Linked DNA regions of Arabidopsis thaliana. The protein of the gene in region 1 interacts with the protein of each later gene in a pairwise test. Each region holds a gene or a part of one and is shown in the gene's direction. Other genes may lie near its edges.

Evidence for each region.
Region 2: the proteins of TRX2 (region 1) and BUD2 interact in binary tests that used the Arabidopsis thaliana proteins (3 or more experiments, as listed by UniProt).

Annotation. Positions count from the first base shown.
Region 1 is NC_003076.8:15,990,148-15,994,205, reverse strand, and holds TRX2 (thioredoxin 2), read left to right. Parts: upstream 1-2,227; 5' UTR 2,228-2,324; coding exon 2,325-2,471; intron 2,472-2,557; coding exon 2,558-2,680; intron 2,681-3,189; coding exon 3,190-3,321; 3' UTR 3,322-3,519; downstream 3,520-4,058. Other genes in the region: AT5G39960 (GTP-binding protein), read right to left, coding at 1-11; AT5G39940 (FAD/NAD(P)-binding oxidoreductase family protein), read right to left, coding at 3,645-3,746, 3,852-3,893, 4,055-4,058. UniProt on the Arabidopsis thaliana protein: Thiol-disulfide oxidoreductase probably involved in the redox regulation of a number of cytosolic enzymes. Possesses insulin disulfide bonds reducing activity.
Region 2 is NC_003076.8:6,310,952-6,315,029, reverse strand, and holds BUD2 (Adenosylmethionine decarboxylase family protein), read left to right. Parts: upstream 1-1,657; 5' UTR 1,658-1,814; coding exon 1,815-2,858; 3' UTR 2,859-3,305; downstream 3,306-4,078. Other genes in the region: AT5G18933 (uncharacterized protein), read right to left, coding at 686-758, 868-903, 1,334-1,394, 1,583-1,643. UniProt on the Arabidopsis thaliana protein: Essential for biosynthesis of the polyamines spermidine and spermine. Essential for polyamine homeostasis, and normal plant embryogenesis, growth and development.

The DNA of each region.
Region 1 (4,058 bases):
GACTGAGACATTGCAGACGACAAATTCAACTTTATGGGTATACGAAGCTTTGCATTTGTGAATCAGTTATGAAATTGGAAATGAGAATCGAGAGAAAAGATTGAAGCTTTGAAGCAGAAGGATGAAGCTAAAACCCTAAACCTTTTGGTTCACCGGTGATGAGAATCGAGAGAACTCTGCCGTTGTTTGGTCATGCCGATTTGTCGACGTGAGTGATGTGAGATTTACATATGATATGACGTCGTTTTCCTATTTGGGTTCTAAAACCCCACTGGGCTTTATAGTGGGTTGCTTTTAAATCCATGTAATAAGTAAGTTCGATTTATTTACCGTTTGAATTCGGTCAGAATTCGATCCGGACTTTGTAACGTTTAATATGACTGAGCAATACTAATTAAGCTGACTGACGGAACAATACCAATTAACCCAATTTATGATAGTTATGTTCAATTTTTTTTTTTTGTTTATCGTTTTAAACATTATTATTGTAGGTAAACTACTTCATAATAGGATTAGATCAAATATTTCTAATGATGATATAATAGATAAAAAAACTAAAAAATATATATTTTTAATAAACTCTATTATTTTTCAGCTCAATTTAGTTTTACTTAAATTAAAATTATTTTTGATTCAGGTCCTATAAACTGAAACCTAAATAATTTGATCCGTAATTCATCAAATGAAATCTTTGTACAAATTTATCTTTTAATTCTTAACAAAATTGTTTATCTCCTAAATTTTTCATACTTTTTTCCAAAGCTTATGAATGCTCCACAACAAAATACAACTTGGTGAACATTTTGCCAACAAATAAAAATTTTCAAATGCAATAACACATTATGTGTTATACTATGCTTTAACGACTAATTTTTTGCGACACTAAAATGAAAACAGTAGTTTGATACATTTGTAAACTGATGCATTTTTAAAAAGATTGAATAAATTTTACATTCTCTCTTAAAAAAACCATACTTACAACAAAATCTAAAATCGAAAGAGCTACAATCCAAATCTTTGGTATTAATATTTCGGTTTGGTTCGATTTGATTATACAGTTTCAGTTTGGTCCGGTTCTTTATTTTTCACATTAATATTGAGAGAGTCAAAAAAAGCTCCACAAGCGAATCATAGTTGAGAGAGCCGACAAAAGCTCCACATAAACTTGCCAACTTCCTTTTCTCATAATCTTTGTAGAGTTCTTTCAATACATTTTTGAGTTCTTTAGCTTTCGACTTAGAAGTAGAAAGATCCACATACTCATAAGCTTATAAGTTTTTTCAAGAATCTGCAACTTCATCTAGGATCCAAGATTGCACCCATAGCCAAAATGATATTGTAATCCTTTTTGAGCTAGAAAGAAGCTTAGAAAGTGATGTGGACAACATGAAGACGCAATTAGATGTTTATTTGGATGAGCCAAGGTTACATAGAAAGGCTTTTCGAAATTTGGATGTTTTGAGCTATTGGAAAGAAAACCAACACAGATTTGGTAACTTAGCATCTATGGTGCATGACATACTTAGCATTCCTATCACGACAGTAGCATTTGAGTCTGCTTTTAGCATCAGAGCACGGGTCTCGAGTCCATACATGAACTGGTTGCTTCCGAAGAACTTTCAGACTCTGCTTTGTACTCATAATTGGTTGCGAGGATTTGCGGAATATGAAGGTAAAAATATTGTGTAGTTATGTTTTAAAACGAGGTTTCTTGCAGTGATCATGTTTTAAAACGAATTCATACTTTGAATTGTAGGTACCCTAAAAGACATTGATGATTTGCAACCAATATGCAAGGATGATTGCAATTAGTACCCGAGCAGAATCTTCAAGATCAGAAAATTCAAGTGCACCATGAAACAAATGTAGAAGAAGCAACATGTTTTGGAACTAAGAAGAATAAGAAACTTATTGTGTTTGAAAACTTGAACATGTTTGAGTTTGATTTATAGATATTAGTGTCTTTCGATTGGTAAGAATTTGAAATTTGATGGTAAGTGTTGATTTTAGTTTGTTTTATAAAAGGTTAGACACATTCTTGATTTAGTAGTTGTTTTGTGTTCCGAGTCACTTAAATTGCTTTTTTAATTTATATCTAAATGGGTATATGAGTTTAAATGGGCAATTTTATAAATCTTAAAATTAAATAATTTTAAATGGGGTAGATTTTAAATGGGCTAAATGAGGTGGGCATGCCCATAGTTGACCAGCTCTAGTGGTAGAAACGGCACGATGTTTGAATATTAAACGACACGATCGTTGACCAAAGAAAGCAGGGTCGTTCTTAAACGCAATCAGAGAGAGAAGCGAGACGAGAGACGATAATGGGAGGAGCTTTATCAACTGTGTTTGGAAGTGGAGAAGATGCAACAGCTGCAGGGACCGAATCTGAGCCAAGTCGCGTCCTAAAGTTTAGCTCTTCCGCTCGGTGGCAACTTCATTTCAACGAGATCAAAGAATCAAACAAACTGGTAACGTCTCTCAGACTCTCGATTCGATTCAATCGATTTCGTGTTTCAATGGAATTTAACTGATTTGGTTTCTGTGAATAATAAAGCTGGTGGTTGATTTCTCGGCCTCATGGTGCGGACCATGTAGGATGATTGAGCCTGCGATTCATGCCATGGCTGATAAGTTCAATGATGTTGATTTCGTCAAATTAGATGTTGATGAACTTCCTGTAAGTATCTCTGTCATAAAGTCTTCATCTTTTTTTTGTAATGCTATCAAAAGTTTCTGACTTTATTTGTCTCTGATTGATCCATAGACTATAGTTTACTGTTTTGTTTTACCTAAAATTCCTCCATTGGAGTGTTGTGAGAAGAAATTGGATAGCTTTATGGTACATAAGTGCAGATCAATCTAGTTCTGATATAACATGAGATTTGGTGTTTTGTAATGAGAAAAATATCTAAACTTGGTGCATCTCTGTCATGGTTATACTTTGCCAATCAAAGTTTCAACTTTTGTGTCTCTGTCTCTTGTTTTGACTGATCCATACTTCTCTGTTTTTCTCTGATTATGAGTAGAAGTTAGATTATGTTAAGGTACAACTGCTAATCACTCGAATTCTGATATATAGATGAGAAGTTGGTTGAAATGGGTTCACATAGCTGCTTCTGTTTCAACAGTTATTGGATTTTGTACTGAGAAACAATTTTAAATTTATTGCATGACTAATGTTTTCAGGATGTGGCTAAAGAGTTTAATGTGACGGCAATGCCTACCTTTGTGCTGGTGAAAAGGGGTAAAGAAATTGAAAGAATCATTGGTGCCAAAAAGGACGAACTTGAGAAGAAAGTTAGCAAACTCAGAGCATAATGAGCATTGTTAACGCCTTAACCAATAGTCTTGTGTAAACTCAATAATAAATGGTATGTTTATGGGGAATGTGATGTTCTATACTCTCTGCTAATGTAAGACCTTCTGTGTGATGCCATGATTGATTGAAATGGTTTGTTGAAATGCTTAGACTCTGCTTTCAGTGGTTTATGATACAAAGTTGACACCTTTTCAGCTTGTGCGTGTTGCAACCATATCATAGCTACAATAATAATGTCCGATAATGCTCCTACATAGATAAATAGAAACTGTATTTTGACAAAAAGAAAAAAAATGTTGACAGTACTTTTCTTATAAGCAAACTACAATCCTATAGTAACTTTTCTTTCTTTCGAACTTATTCTGCTACTACTTGCTAATTCGCCGATGTTTGTGCCTGCGATATAACCACCTGACCAAGCATTCTGCAGGTGTGAAATTTCATTTAGGAAAGTAAAAGATATGGTTTTTGTTGTTTCGTTTAATACATTTGAGTAAAAGATATTTCAATGCTATAACTAAAAGTTCACCTGGAAATTGAATCCTCCTGTAACTCCATCTACATTTAGTACCTGAATACACAAATGCAAGTAAAGATATGTTACATTTATCATGTCATGTGTGTGCGTGTGTACATGGATGCCTACTTCCACATGTCATGTGTCCATGTTCCAAATGCATTGTTTTACTAAATCACACAAATGAATTGTTGAAACATTGTTGCAATGCTTACTTCT
Region 2 (4,078 bases), 9.7 Mb from region 1:
TGAAAATGAAATTAGATATTAACATATACGTGCATATATACGAAGAAAATAATTTAAAGTTTTATGTGCATTAGCGATTGTTTGACACACAAGCCACTAAAATTGATGATTCTTGCAGACACTTGTTCCATTGCCCTTTCAAGATCTTTTGTGTCTTGTCCACGATATAGTATGTGTGTGTGTGGCTAATCAGATATATTATTTAATATGGGCTACGTAAAGATGTGTCATGTGTACTTTGTTTTGGCATGATGAGTGATACATAACGGGTGATTGGAACCAATGTACGAGAGCCTCGTAACCGAATTGTAAACACGGTTTCTTTTTTCAGTTTTTTTTTTTTTTTTTTTGCTTAATTAATCGGTAAGTTAAGGTCTATCGGTACTATTTGTTTATGTGTTGTATTTCGTGTGCCAAAACATTTTTGAACCTTCCATTATAAGCTTTGTAACACAAATATTGGCATCCATGGAATAACAAAGAATATGGTATTACATTGAGATATATATTGACAAGTTCATTCGATCAACCAAATCGTTTCTTCTACTTGTGAAAGTAGATTTAACTCTTTGAAATTCTTTCTTCAAGAATTTCGTATCTGTCAATTTGTTTGTTCTTGTACACAAGCTTTTAGTTAATGTTTTACATTTTAAATAAACTCCATGGAATAATATATCCTGAAGTCCTAGTTGATAGCATAGCCTAAACAAGCCTTTCCACTTCTAGTGTCGATCCTGCGATAGTTTTTGTACGAGAGCCTAAAGATAGTCAAAAGATATACATTTCACATAACTATTAAACCAATTATCTTAATTATATGCTTTATCAGCTTCAAAACCAACTACTACAATATATAAGGAAAAATACCCCTCCCCTTGAAATTTTTGGATGGCATAAACACCACTAAAAAAGGTAATGCCATCAATTAGTGTCACCAGTCTTTTAGGAATATGATTGGTAGCTTTTGAAGCGAGACATTTTATGGCTAACATTTGGAATGACTAATGTCTTTGAGATTATTATATGTATATAATTTTACTGATAACATAATTATATGGAATCCAAAATTCACATTAACTAATCCATATTATGGTGAGACAATTTGGAACGAAAAGTTCGTACCGAACCGTTTTATATAATTTATGTAAACAATATTCTTCAAAATTAGCTATTTTGAGTTTAAGATTTAAAAGAAAATCTTATGAAAAAAACATATCTTAATTCAGTAAGTAGAATGATCCGAAATAAATACTTTGCACAATTTCATAGTTCTTAAAATAAATAATAGTCAAAGGAGTTAAACCATGTTTTATTATTAAGGCGTCAATCCTACATTTTTTGTTGTTCATGATTTTGCATTTCTGCGATATTATCAAATCGAACTAACATATCACCTGCAAGAAAGATTTGATTATAAAAAGTAATAGAAAAAAACATCCAAATTTGCATGCGCTTAACCACCCATGAAACTCCTTCTCATTACAGAACAACACAAGAATACAGAACAGAATCAGACGCACACTAACTAGATCTCTCACATACACAGATACATACACGCATACATACAAAACAAAACACAAACTCTCATCATCTTTCTCGTTCATTATGCCTACAATCATGATTCTTGGTCTCTTAACCCGCATGCTCCTTCTTCTCTATCCTCCAAACCCTCTCCTATAAATACCACTTCTCTCCCACTAATCACCACTACCTCTCTCTTCTCTCTCTACTCACACACAAACACATTTCCTTTGCCGTGTTCTTCTTGCAACTTCCTCTGTTCTGTTTCATAACATCTTCTTCTGATCTTTGCAATGGCAGTGTCTGGGTTCGAGGGTTTCGAGAAAAGACTCGAACTTCGGTTCTTCGACGATGACAAACCAATCACCAAAAACCCTATGGGACTCCGTCTAATAGACTTCGAATCTTTAGACCAAGTCTTAAACGAAGTGCAGTGCACAGTGGTCTCCGCCGTAGCGAATCGTAGCTTCGACGCTTACGTTCTCTCAGAGTCAAGCCTCTTTGTATACCCAACCAAAATCATCATCAAAACATGTGGAACCACGCAACTCCTCAAATCAATCCGACCGTTGATCCATCTCGCACGTAACCTCGGCCTCACGTTACGCGCGTGTCGCTACTCGCGTGGCAGCTTCATCTTCCCTAAAGCTCAGCCTTTCCCTTACACAAGCTTCAAAGACGAAGTCATCGTCGTCGAAGAAAGCCTCCCAAAATCTCTCTGTTACCGCAAAGCCTCTGTTATGACGCCTTCTAATAACCCATCACGTGCTTGGCACGTGTTCACCGCAAGCGCTGACGTGGAATCCGACGAACATGTCGTCGTAGTCGAAGTATGTATGACGGAGCTGGACCGAGTCAACGCTCGAAGCTTCTTTAAACGGAAAGGTGACGAGAAAAACAACAGCGATTCCGCCGGGAAAGAGATGACGCGGCTCAGTGGTATCGATAACATAAACGCAAACGCTTATATATGCGATTTCGCGTTTGATCCTTGCGGTTACTCGATGAACGGCGTCGACGGTGACCGTTACTCAACTATCCACGTAACGCCTGAAGACGGTTTTAGCTACGCGAGCTTCGAGTGTGGTTTGTCTCTCTACGACAACGGTCACGAAGATATCTCTGAGGTGTTAAGCCGGGCCATTGATGTTTTCCGTCCAAGTGACGTCTCGATCGCCACCACTTACGGCGGCGAAGATTACAACCACGAGGTGACTAAGCGCGTGGAGCGTGTGTTAGCTAAGAAGCTTGATCTTAAGTGTCGGAGCCGTCTTATGGATGAGTTTCCAGGCTCCGGAACCGTCGTTTATCAGTCCTTCACGCCTCGTCGGAAATAGGCTTCGCCGGAGGAGTAAAAAAGGAGAAAATGTTTTAATTAGGTTTCAATTAGCTTAAAGGAGAAAAAAGAAACAGGTAATGACGTGGAGGGAAATGATTGGTTGACTTGGGTTTAAGGAGGATATTAAGTGGGAACATATGATCATGCACCCCACTTTGCACTTGTGGCAATGTCACGCCTAAGCATTTTTGAGGTTCAGTGTTGTAGAATTTTAGTGGGGGATGGTAAAAATGGTTTGGTCTGTTTTTTTTTTGTCTTTCTTTTATTTCTTCTTATGTTTGTTTTTTATATTTTCGATTTAAATTATCTTAAATCTATATATCAGACTGTTGATATACGGTTTTAATCGTTCTTACTTTATATGGTTACAAATTCATTCACCTTAAAAGTAAACTAATTATGATGTGAAAAATATTGTAAAACAATTTCAAAAGATCCTTAGCTACTGTTCGATATGTTTTGTCGTTACCAAACATATCTCAAGTCAGAATTAGCACCACAATAATATTGCCGGTCGACGACACTTGTATTTCAAGTTTAAAATCCGTTAAAATTATAGTTAGCAAACCTTCCATCATCTTTTACCTTTACACATTTGTAGTATTTAGTGTCGTATCATTTTGTTGCTAGTCTCCATCACATCTACTACTACTACTACTACACTGAACAAGATCAAGCATAGAACAATCAAGAATGAAATAAAATTTTAAAATTATGCATAACTTGAAACTGTGACCCTAAAAACTTGGATAATATTAAGGACTTGGCGGCTCATGCTCTTTTTTTAGGCAAATGCTTTTTTTTCTCCATGTGTGTGTTTGACATTTAACCATAAGAAGTCAAAGAATGAATAAATTTTAAAATCTATTACTACATACTAAAAAAATTAAAATCCAATGAATCTAAAACTCATAAGGCAAAAAAAGTAAGGTTACACTTTTTGTGGCTGACCAATTAAAAGTATTAATATGTGATTTACTTTTAATAATCGCGCATGTAAGTTTTCCCACCGCAACATATCAAAATCCAGTTTGCACGTGAGAATAATTGGCTAAAAAGTAAACCTTAGCCAAAAACATGACTTATCTCAGTTCATCCCAAGTAAATAAATCAAAAATCAAATCTTTTAACGAGCTTGTTTTGCTCTTCTTATATAGTTTCTGGAAGAGTGATGTACAAAGGTTCTTCGCAAAGGAGTCAAACGTTCAAGATCTCATT